Coturnix japonica: one gene and its partner. The protein of the gene in region 1 interacts with the protein of each later gene in a pairwise test. Links are inferred from orthologs where the notes say so. Each region holds a gene or a part of one and is shown on either strand. Other genes may lie near its edges.

What was found. The genes of interacting proteins can lie anywhere in the genome.
Region 2: the proteins of FIP1L1 (region 1) and CPSF4 interact in binary tests that used the Homo sapiens proteins (3 or more experiments, as listed by UniProt). The two-hybrid records come from large-scale screens. The link is inferred for Coturnix japonica from reciprocal best matches to the Homo sapiens genes FIP1L1 and CPSF4.

Annotation. Positions count from the first base shown.
Region 1 is NC_029519.1:59,343,836-59,349,476, forward strand, and holds part of FIP1L1 (pre-mRNA 3'-end-processing factor FIP1), read right to left. Parts: intron 4,122-5,641; coding exon 4,064-4,121; intron 1,977-4,063; coding exon 1,873-1,976; intron 1-1,872.
Region 2 is NC_029529.1:4,428,950-4,435,274, forward strand, and holds the start of CPSF4 (cleavage and polyadenylation specificity factor subunit 4), read left to right. Parts: upstream 1-2,850; 5' UTR 2,851-2,961; coding exon 2,962-3,064; intron 3,065-4,376; coding exon 4,377-4,427; intron 4,428-4,816; coding exon 4,817-4,969; intron 4,970-5,763; coding exon 5,764-5,859; intron 5,860-6,009; coding exon 6,010-6,103; intron 6,104-6,325. Other genes in the region: pentatricopeptide repeat-containing protein 1, mitochondrial, read right to left, coding at 1-222, 587-688, 962-1,180, 1,373-1,513, 2,264-2,850. UniProt on the Homo sapiens protein: Component of the cleavage and polyadenylation specificity factor (CPSF) complex that play a key role in pre-mRNA 3'-end formation, recognizing the AAUAAA signal sequence and interacting with poly(A) polymerase and other factors to bring about cleavage and poly(A) addition.

The sequences.
Region 1 (5,641 bases):
AAGACCTTGATAGAAAGAAAAATGAACAGGACCAGAAGGAGAGAAAAAGGAAAAACAAAATTCATTTAGGGATACAGAAGACACTCTGGGGATGAGGGCAAAAGCAAGATAAAGGAAAGAGGTTTTAGACATATCCTTTTGCTGCTTTTATTATAATTCCATTTATTCTCTGTACAGAAATGGAAAATAGAAGCGTTTCTTTGAAATGACTGAAAGGCTGTTTCAGTGCGCTTTTAGCAATTACCTATCCTTGTGACCAGCAGAAAAATACACGCAATTTCATCTTCTAAAATACCTAAGAGCTTTGATCATAAAAATGCATTCTGACATTTAGACAGTGAATTAACAGCTTTAGAATTACAGTATTATTTACCTGGAACAGTAAGAGCTAACTTTCACAAACACTTGTGTGCAAAGTAGCTTATCCTCATAGGTGGTATCAGCGCACAAACATATTAAACTATGTACTATTTTCTACTTATATGTTAAAGTACTGGTTCCATGTCATTTCTTCATACAAAATCATGCAGCAGAGTAGAAAACTGACACAGAGCATTCATCCTTATCTCCCATGCTGTATTTGTGCATGACTTTCTCAAATCTTTTCATTTATTTACTTTTTTACTCTCTTCAAAACTGTGATAAACAACTATAAGAAAATAGGTTATATGTATGAAGGAACTTGCTATGAAGTTAAAATGAACAGTGCTGAGCTTGGTTTAGAAGATTGCCCTTCCATGAACTTTCTGCCCAACTTGCCCAGAAGTGATTTTACACAGAACAGTTACTTTTATATAAAACTTTCTACTCTAATTAGATTTAGAAGCATTTGCTTATTGTTTCTGCATTCATCGAATGAGCATCAGTAAATTCACCAAGAATATAAATCCAGCTTTGCTTTATTCTCACAGAATTTGAGGTCAGTGTCCATACCACAGGCATACTGCAAGTTATTGAAAACATATGAAGTACTAAAAGAATTGCTATTTTTGACATTACTTTGACTTGCGTAGATACTTTAGGATATAAAGTGCTGGAAAGGATATTTTGTTTAAAAAACTTACAAATTCTAAAGCTAGGGATATAACAACATACGTGAGTCAGACCTATTTGCATGCCTACTGGAATTCTAACTTAAAAGACAAGCTAATAACTTGTAATGAGCATAAGAACGCTAGGATTGCCAATACAAACAAAGCATACAACTTCCCTCAGAAAAACTCTATGTAACAAAATATACTATTTCATTATTTTGGATAAAATTAAAACTTTTCAAAAGCATTCAATGAAAAAATAAACCCTTTATGAGCAGAAAAAAACAACACGAGGTAACAGCAGTTACTGTATGGTACAAATCTCTAAACCGTGATCAAAAGAAATCATCCCCAGAGATTGGCTGCTGCATCCTAAAGTACATTAAAATCTTTAAGAGCATCAGTAGAAATTGAAACTACAGAGTTCTTATTTGAAGTGTTTCCATGACAAATAATACCCGGGACAAATGTATCTACTGTTCTCTGTGCTTACATCGTTCACAACAAAAATAAAAACGTCACAAATATGAGCCAAAAAACATCATGTAATATAGCTCTTCCATAACACAGAACTCTTTAATTTACAAACATTCAGTGCAATTATTTCTCAAAATCTGAAAAAACCAACCTCATAAAGTGGCTCTTCCTTTATATTTCATTTATTTCACTTTTTTCTTATTCCAAGTCATTACATCACTAGAAACATTTTATTAAAGAAGAAAAAACAAAATAAGGCCACCTATGCATACAATCTGATATTGACAGGTATTAAAACTTGAATTAATAACAAAATGCAATCTTAAAACTTTCTCCCAGTTAGTATTTTTAGATAACTTACCTAAACTGTGGAGCTCCTGTTTTAATATCTCCTATGGTGACTTGAACATCATCTTCATCATCATCGCTATCACTATCGCTGTCATCCTCAGCCTCAGTCGCCTTCTACAAAAGAAAAGGTCACAATCTACAATGAAAAAATAATCCAGACAAAAGTACCTATTCTGGATATCTTTAACAAAAGAAAATTGTTTCTCAGATGTCAGAATTGAGTAGCAAGAACTGAATATGTTCTTCAGTTTCAGTGTTATCAATCTTGGAATAATATTGAAAATACCTGGATCAAAATAGAGAAGTATTTTTAGTATTAAGTTTCTGTCTCTGAAACATGACATTTCCAAGATAGGCATAAAACATTTTCCACTATCCAGTATTTTCTTCTCCCTCCCTATCTCATTTATACCAGTTCTGCTGCAGTCACTCAGGAAAGAGCCAGAAGATACATGACACCAGCTTCTTGCCATCTCAGTTATATACCCAGAGCAACTCAAAACACTTTTTCAATCATAGATGAACACTGCTCTTCAGGTAAAGTTATTCAATTCATAAACTAGTAAACCTCAAATAAATCAAATACTTGAGACTTTTATTGAACAGGCTGGAAAAAAGCAACACCACAAAACAGCTACAAGAGTACACTGCATTCTGTTCTGTCCCATGGCTTTCAAGCTTGCTGGTAAATAAAAACAGTCATACCAGTTCATACCGACAGTTCATCCAGCCCCACGTTTTGATGTGGGTTTGTTTTTGTTTTTTCAGAAAAAAGGGACTGTAAGAACTCAATTCCTACTTACAGCCATTATACGTGATTTGCTAACTTCTATTCTGCCTTACATATGCCTTCCTCCCAGGCTGAGAAGCCCTTGCCTACTCAGTTATTTGTTACTGGAAGCAACCTGCATTGCTCTTGTTGTGCTTCTCTCAACTTTCTTCAGTGGAAGTAAAGCCTTCAAGGTGCGAGAGGAATAGAACTGCACACAGAATTTGAGGTCTAACAGAAACAAACTAACACAGTGGCAAAATAGCCTTCTGTTTGGTCTGCTAATCACTATCTGCTACATTCCCAAATTTGACTGCTTTCTAGACTCCAGCGAAGTGTTAAAATTACATTTTCATGGACCTTTCAACATAGCTGAGCAGCTTCCTCGTAAGTGGTAATGATCAGCTCAGAAACCATCATTTATTTGCAAGCTGTTTTTCACCCATGAACATTTCTTCTACACAGAATTTCATCAACCATTTATCAACCACACAGTCCCCTGTAGAAAGTCGTATATTTAATAACTCTGTAACTTGCACAACTTAACCACTTTTCCAGGTAATTTATAACCATACTGAATAGCACAGGCTCTGTACAACACTCTAGAGAAACACCAATGGAGGTGATCTTCAACCACCACCATGAAAACGGAACCTTTACTTCTGCACTGTTTTCTCTCTTCTGCACATTGATTATCCATGCCATTCCTTTGCTTTCTAAATATCCTTTAATGAAGAACTTCTTCCAGACTTTTCTGATTAACCAGACTATGCCACTCTGCATACTTGCAGAATCCTTCAGCAAGACACTAAACGTACTGAAACCAAGTTGGTTAGCCTGCAGTTATCCAAGTGCAGTCGAGCTCTGGTCCTTATCTAACTTGCCTGGTACATTAACTAGACCAAAATTAGCAGCTGCATGGAAGATAAGAGGTTAGAGTGCAGTTCATTCTTGCTGTACAGCATTAACATAATGTATTTAATAACTAAGAGTCAAATCAAGGCAGAAAAACCCTCAATTATTTTAATCAAAATAGAACTTCTGCAAATGACAGCTGATGATGGAAGACAGTCTTTCAGTGCCCCACTGTCAAGAGAAACAAGTTCACCAATTACTACTTCTCCATAGAAAAGCCACAAACCATTCCCATTCATGGTAAACTGCAGCCATCCATCAGCACTGCAACTGTAAACCTCATTTATAAGTACTATTTATTTATTGTCTGTAAGTTAGTTTTAAGAAGTGGAATGCAGCTGGAAATAGAGTTTCCTAGTCTTTATTGTTAATGCAGATATCATCAAACACCATCTGCAAAAGTCAAAGGTGTACAATTATGGATGAGTTCATTTGATTTTAATTCCAAGCTAAATTACAATTAGTCAATAAATCAAAACAAATTAAAGCAGTATTTCAAAAGCACATTTAAAAGTACCGTTTTCACAACGCCATTTTCTGCAGCCTCCTCTTCGTTTCCAGGTGGGGGTGGAGCACTTAAGCAAAAACAAATAGGGAGAAAAATGAAACTAGTTATTTAGGCACATGTTATCCCAGACATCAGCTAATGCTGAATAAAGCACCAATATATCATTCCAGAGAGCAGAAAAAGTCTGACTTACCTTGTACATGAAATTGGGAAAAAAAAATAATAACTTTCTGACTTTACAGAATAGAAACTGGAAGGCAGAATGATTTCCATTTGCTTGCAAAACACCCACTAGTGAGTACTGCACCAAAGCCCAACCCAGTGCAAGTCTGGCCCTGGGATTCAAGCTTTACTATTTAACTGCACGACCCAGTAAAATGATATAACATCTACAGAATCTGGATAAAACTTCACTGGTAAGAATGACAAAACTGAAAGCTGAGGGAACAAAACTTTAACAGGAAAACTGTTGCCGTGTCTCCAGACACAACCCATAAGAAACGCAAGCAACTATTTGTTCCTCTTTTCAGTCCCAAGCTACATACTGAGGCAGCTAACAGCCAAGTCAAGGTCCAAATAACCAGAATTTAGAATAAGACACCACTATAGATCATTTTGTTTGCCATACAATTAATTTTCTTAATCAACAGTCCTACTGACAAAAGGTGTTAGATCAAGAAAAGATAACCAAGCACAAAGAACCAATTGATATGGGATAGGTTCCAAATAGAACCAAATAATTCTGGGATAGACATGATCCAGGGCAGATATAATGGAGGTAAACAAACAGATAATAACTCTTTATTTCTTATACAACAGTAATCAATGGGAATCAAACAACTCTATCTACTTGCAGCTTCAAAATGGTCTTGCATGCAGTCTGCTAGTAGGAGGCATTACTGCTATAAGGTAAGTGCCTGTCAACGTTTTCCTTCGGTTCAAAAACAAGCAACTGAGCAAACCTGTGGATACAAAGTCCACCAAGGATGACTAAACTTGACAGTTCTCTGTTGATTACTAAACTCAACAGTCCTCTATTGCGAAAAATTTCTGGAGACTACAAGAGGCATTCATGGAAAATAACAATGCGCACACTCTTCCACCAGCTTCCCCTTTATTTACCTAATTTTAACTTCACAATCAATAGTTTCCATCATTTATCAACTGTGAAATTGATAAATTTAGTGTGAAATGCTAACTTCATTTCAGTGGGTTCTTGCTACCAACTGCTGCCAACATAGACAAGTTTTCAAGGAAACTTTGTGCTTTCGCTTACACAGTTCCTCATAAGTCATTTGGGCTTCCAAATCTTTCTCAAGCAAAGACTTGCCTACCAATCAAAAACATGTTATAGAATTAGCACATCTAACTGGATGGTCTTTCAATACCTGAAGGGAACTTACTCCCAGGAGGGGAGTAAACTCTTCAAAAGGGCTGACAATAGCAGGACATGGGGAAATGGTTTTAAGTTGAAAGAGGGAAGATTTAGGTTGGATGTTAGGGGGAAGTTCTTTACTAGGAGAGTGGTTAGGCCCTGGAACAGGCTGCCCAGGGAGGCTGTGGATGCCCCGTCCTTGGAGGTGTTCA
Region 2 (6,325 bases), on another chromosome or scaffold:
CTGGACAGTTGGTGCAGCCTCTTCTCCCTTCTTTCTCTGATTTTTCACCTTCTGCCTGCCAGGTGCAAGCCTTAGTTGAGATGAGTTCTCATCAGTGGGTCTCAGCAATACTTTAGAAGCCACAGCTGGATCACCTATTCCACAGTCTCTTGCAGCACGCAGCATCAAATTGTAACTATGGCTATCAGCCTTTATTCCCAACCTAGTCATTTGTTTCCAAATCTGAAGAGAGAAAAAGGAACATCAAACATGTAACAACAGATAACAGGAGAACTTCTAGCAGATTGTAAGCATGTTTACAGTGCATACTCTTACAGTATCTAAAAGGAAGTTTGTAGCACGATGAAGTGAGATGCCAGTGGGCAGCAAGCAGCCAACTCAAGCCAGTACAGCCCTGTGAGGCCCTGTAGGGTTCTCCAACTGCTTACACAACATCCTGAAGGATGTCTGATTTGTAGAACTTGCCCCAGGAGGAGCTGACAGCTCATTTCATCAGCTCTGTGAAACTGCTGCCCTCTGTACATTTCACTGACAAGTGATAGTGCTGAAGTGCTTTTTCCTTGCTATTTAGTACATAAAGACAAACCTGTAAGGCATATCGGAAGCCATTTTCACTGTCCTTTATGCAGCTCATTAGAAGGAAGCTGAAGGTCTCAGCTGTAGGAACGTGGCCCTTATGCACCATTTCCTAAAACATAGAAGAGAGAACATTAGACTTCACAGGTAGTCAAACAGCCTGTCACAGCTGTTGATGCCTGTAGCTGCCTCATTTTATGTACTAGAACTTGGTAAGTAACAAGATAATTAATCGAATGAGACCAAAGGTCAATGAAATATGAACATCTGGTCAGTAATTATCTCTGCAAAAATGACCCCAATGTCATAACGCAATATTGCAACTTTAATTAGAGCTTTAATTAGAGCAGAATACACTCGATACAAGAAAAGTCATAATATTTACCTTCAGCACATCAAAACACATCCTGAGATCTGAGCACAGCGCACAGACTTTCAGCAGTGCATGGTAAGTGATCATGTTCAGCTCCTGGTTTTTGTCCTTCAGCTGCTGCCGTAGTTTGAGAGCACTCTGCAGGCCTGAGTCTTTCCATGGCGATTCAGCACAGGCATTGAACAGCGCTGTGTATGTGGGTTCAGTAGGAGTTAAGCCTCGCTTCTTCATCTAAGAGAAGAGAAGACATGGAACTAGGTTTTAGGAAAAGAGTTATTTCATAATTTGGTTTTAAGAGCTTCAGGAAAGGTGAACATTGGCTCAAAGGCATTTTGGAGAGAAAATAACACGACCAGATGATAGAAACAGATTTAGCTGAGTGAACCTAATGAAGGCTTGAGAAAAGAGAGAATGTGAACCTACATCGTTGTAGAGTCTGAATGCCTTTTTCACGTAGCCAGCCCTGCCACAGCCTCCAATGAGAACAGTGTAATTGATTTCTTCTGGCTTTACTCGCTCTTCCTTCAGCATCTGCACCTCAAACAGCTCCAGGGCCTCTGCCAGCTACAGAGAAAAGGAAAATGTTTTATGAAGCAACAATTCAGTTACAATGAATAGCCTTAGCTGTAGTCAGAAATCCTACAGAGCACAGAATTCCTCATAAATTCTTGTTTTCCTTCTTTTAATAATGATGATAATGAGTTGGAAAAGACCTCTAAGATCATCAAGTCTGATCTGTCAGTCCTTCAGTGCCACATTTCCACAGTTCTCAAACACCTCCAAGGATGGCGACTCCACCACCTTCCTGGGCAGTCTGTTCCAACACATTACCACTCGTTCCAAGTATGTTTCCTAGTATCCAACCTGAACCTCCCCGGCACAACTTGAGGCCATCACCTCACATCCTATCACTGCTACCTGGATCAGAGGCCAACTCCCACCACACCACAACTTCTTTTCAGAGAGCAGGAAGCAATGAGGTCTCCTCAGACCTTGAACTGCTTCCCATAAGACTTATGCTCATGGTTTTATTGCCATTCTCTGGACACACTCCTGGGCCTCCACATCTTTTTAGTAGCGAATGGTCCAAAACTGAACAACAAGTACTTGAGGCATGGCTTCAAAAGTGCTGAGTGCAGACAGACAGCTATAACAGGAGGCAGGAGTAGCAACTTTAAAGGCAACTTTAACCTCAGTTAAAGGCCAAAGGGACCTGATGATCACTTCAAGCCCCTCCCAAGCGAACCATTCTAATCCTAACAGCAAAGTGCTCGTTCACAAGCACCAAACGTTACTATAACCCCCAAATCCCACCTTGTCCTCCTTGATGAGGGCCTTGCACCTTAGGAAATACCAGTACGGCGTGTTCCTGCGGCCGTACCACAGCCTCCTCTCCCCTTCTTCCTCCCCATCCTCTTCAAGCTTCAAGTTCCGAAACACCGCCGTGGTTTTGTGGTAATATTTCCTATGGGAGAACTTAGCAGACAGCGTCCCGAACTCCACACCTTCATCATCATCATCATCATCATCATCACCAGCTTCGCCTTCAGCACCGCGCACCTCAGGGGGCGGCTGCGACGAGCTCAGCGCCCTCAGGCCACGCAGTGAAGGGAAGCTGGGCCTGAGGTACCGGAACAAGGCGGAGGGAAGCGGAGCAGCGGCCCGGCAGCACCGCCAAGGGACGGGCTGGAGGCTGAGGAGGAGCCGTGCAGGCCGCATCGCGAAGCGCGGCGCACACACCGCCCCGCCCCCTCGCGGCCACCGTAGCGCCACGGCGCATGCGCGGCAGGAAGAGGCGTGTTCAAAGCGGCGGCCGGAGCCGGAGGTGTTTTCCCGGCATCCTCCGGGACGGGCGGGCGGCGCGGCGCGGGTCGCGCGCGGCCCCATTGAGTGTTGAGGCGCTGCCGAAGAGAAGCAGGCTGGGTCGGGCCAGGCCGGGCCGGGCCTGGCCACAGCCGGCCCCAACCATTCCACCCCTTCCCACCCGGTGCCGTCGCCCCCCGGCTGCAACCATGCAGGAGCTCATCGCCAGCGTGGACCACATCAAGTTCGACCTGGAGCTGGCGGTGGAGCAGCAGCTGGGGGCGCAGCCGCTGCCCTTTCCCGGCATGGACAGTGCGTGTGGGCGCCGGGCGCGGCATAACCTCTATCCCTGAGCCGGGGTGGTGGGACAAGGATGGAGCCTAGAGAAGGGATCAGCCTAGAGAGAAGGTTGTGGGGTGACCTCAGTGCAGCCCTTCAGTACCTGAAGGGAACTTAGTGCCAGGAGGGGAGTAAACTCTTGGAAAGGGCTGACAATAGCAGGACACGGGGAAATGGTTTTAAGTTAAAAGAGGGAAGATTTAGGTTGGATGTTACGGGGAAGTTCTTCACTAGGAGAGTGGTTAGGCCCTGGAACAGGCTGCCCAGGGAGGTTGTGGATGCCCCGTCCTTGGAGGTGTTCAAGGCCAGGTTGGACGGGGCCCTGGGCAACCTGATGTAGTAAAGGTGTATGTTTGGTGGCCCTGCCAGGCAGGGGGGTTGGAACTACATGATCCTTGAGGTCCCTTCCAACCCGGGTCATTCTGTGATTCTGTGGTGGTGGGGATGGGGCTGTTCCGTGCCCTGTGCTGGGCTCCTCGTGTCCCCTCAGCTCCTGCTGCCCTGAGGTGCTGCCTTGGGCCGGGTGCTGTGTGTCTGTAGCCGTAGTTTGTGCCGTGCTGGGATGGAAGGAAAGTTGAGGCGTTCATGTGAATAAACACTGCTGTCCCACGCTGTTGTTTGATTGCCCTTTTGATAGGTGAGGTGTTTTGGTGGCAGGGAAGGTGTAGGTGTGTTCACAGTCTGGGATCTGAGCACTTTCCTGCATTAGTCTGGAGATGGGGGAGTCAGGGGAGGCCACATCATTCCCTACAACTCCAGAAGGACATGGTCAATGTGGTGAGAATGGGCTGGTTGGACTTGGTCATCATAGGGGTCTTCAACCTGTCCACTGATGCAAGTAGTCCTGGGAGACTCAACAGTTTGCTGACGTTCTGTGTCAGTGCTGCTGACCTCACATTGCTCCCTTGAGTGCTGTGATTCCTGTAGGTCAGTGAGGGATAACGCAGCAACAACTGGGTCAGGCTGATCTGCAGAAAAGACTTTGAGAGCCAGGGCTATAAACATGTTTCACTACAGCAAGTGGTTTAATAGTCATTGCCCAACCTGAAGTCTGAAAGGCTATAAACAGAACTGCAAATTTCCCTGCTGTGTATTCATTGAGGAGAATACAGACATTTGTGAAGGCCAGAACTGAACAAAGAATTCATGCAGGGATGTAAATTCCTCAAACCAAAATGCTGTTTCTCTTTTGAATTTGAGGACTCAGTCGTTTCTTCAGGCAGAAAATACTTTGGAAGCTCCTACTAAAGTTTGTTAACGTTTATTTTGTTTCTTCTTTCCACAGAATCAGGTGCAGCTGTCTGTGAATTCTTTTTAAAAGCAGCATGCGGGAAAGGCAAGTTGTATTTCCAGTACACTTACACTCGTATTGCAGGGAGGAGAAATAGATTTGCTGGCACGTTCTATGTTAATCATGGCTTTTGTTAACTCCACAAATTGTGTGGGGTTTGCTGTGGATGTGGCTGTTTTAGTGTCTATGGGTTGCGGCTGCTGGGATTTAGACATGGAGACTACAGTGCTCAGCTCATTAGAGGGTAAAACAGGACTTGTCTGGATGTCCTTGTTTATCGTTACCATTAAGAACTGAAGTCATAAGGAAAAACTGAGTTCTTCTGAAACCTCTCTTGTAGAGGCGAGTGAAGCGCTGCTGTTGCTGTGTTCCTGCTTGTACTGCAGAGTTTAATTGTTCCTCTTTTTCATTTCCCTTGCCTCATCCTTGTGCAGGAGGTATGTGCCCATTCAGACACATCAGTGGGGAAAAGACTGTCGTTTGCAAACACTGGCTACGAGGACTATGCAAAAAGGGAGACCAGTGTGAGTTTCTGCACGAGTATGACATGACCAAGATGCCTGAGTGTTACTTCTACTCCAAATTCGGTAAGAAACATTGTAGCTCCTACGTAGTGTTCCTTGCAAGCGTGGGAGTCTGGTGAAGAAGATCCTGGTACATCCTTCTTATTCCATCCTCAGAATATTTCAGTTCTTCCATGTCTGCTGACACTGTTCCATTGTAGTTTTTCAGGTCTGCTTAGCTCTTTTATCTTTTTATTCCCCTAAATTCGCCATGTGTTGTAGATGTTTCCTCTCTCAAGAGCTTGTCATGTTGGGGAAGAGGGAGGAAGTTCACATTGTTACTGGGTTTTGTGCTTTATGTTCTCTTTTTTAGTATGAGTTGAGTAGGCTGAGCAGTTGGTCTTTGCATGACTCTTGTTTTGGGGAGTTGATGAGCAGCAGAGGGCATGGGGGTGCAAAACTTTTATGCACTTGCTTTCCAGCTCTGGAGATCTGGACATAATGAGGCAACTTGCTGTCAGAAACTTACAGTCTTGTAGGTTTCCTTGGATTGAGGTTAGTGTGCAATTTGTAGTTTCTCCACACTTTTGGTGCACTAAATGTTTGGTTTTTGTTATCATGACTCTCTTCCAAAAATCAGTTTCTGCATTGTTTTTAAAAGCACACATAAATAATCCAGTCTGGTAGAAGTTCACTCACTAGGGGTGAGTGCTTGGTGTTCATCCTCTAGGTTAAGTCAGGCAATAAGACCGTTGTGCCTGAACTTATGAATGCTGGTAACAGCTTTGTGGGAGGTACATGATCCAGGTAACATTTTAGGAATTACTTGATCTTGAACCTGCATCATTAACTAAGAGATGCGTTTGCCTTTGGTACAGGGGAATGCAGTAACAAAGAATGCCCATTCTTGCACATTGACCCGGAATCTAAGATCAAAGACTGTCCCTGGTATGACAGAGGCTTCTGTAAACATGGTACGTATGTTGTGTTGTTGCTCCTGTGGCTATAAATGAAGGGTAGGGTGTTGCTATTCTTTCTTTGCATGAGCTGCTTTGTGTACCTGCTGCTACTGAATGTTGGAGCATGTATATATAGTACATGAACCATTTAACTTTGTGTTGCAGGTCCACTCTGCAGACACCGACACACTCGAAGAGTCATTTGTGTGAATTACCTAGTAGGATTCTGTCCAGAAGGGCCTACCTGTAAATTCATGCAGTGAGTTTGTTTCCAGGCTTGCTCTTTGATGATGTTTCCACTGTAATCTGATGCATGTCAAATGGGGGGGCTCCAATACTTCCCAGTGGTTCTGTAAAGATAGCCAACACTTAGTATAACAATCTATCTTTGATTAGAGGATGTGGTGTATGTCCTCCTTAGGGAGTTATCAGTAAGACACTGAAGTGCTTGGATGCCATGGTGGGCTTGCATGAGCTTACA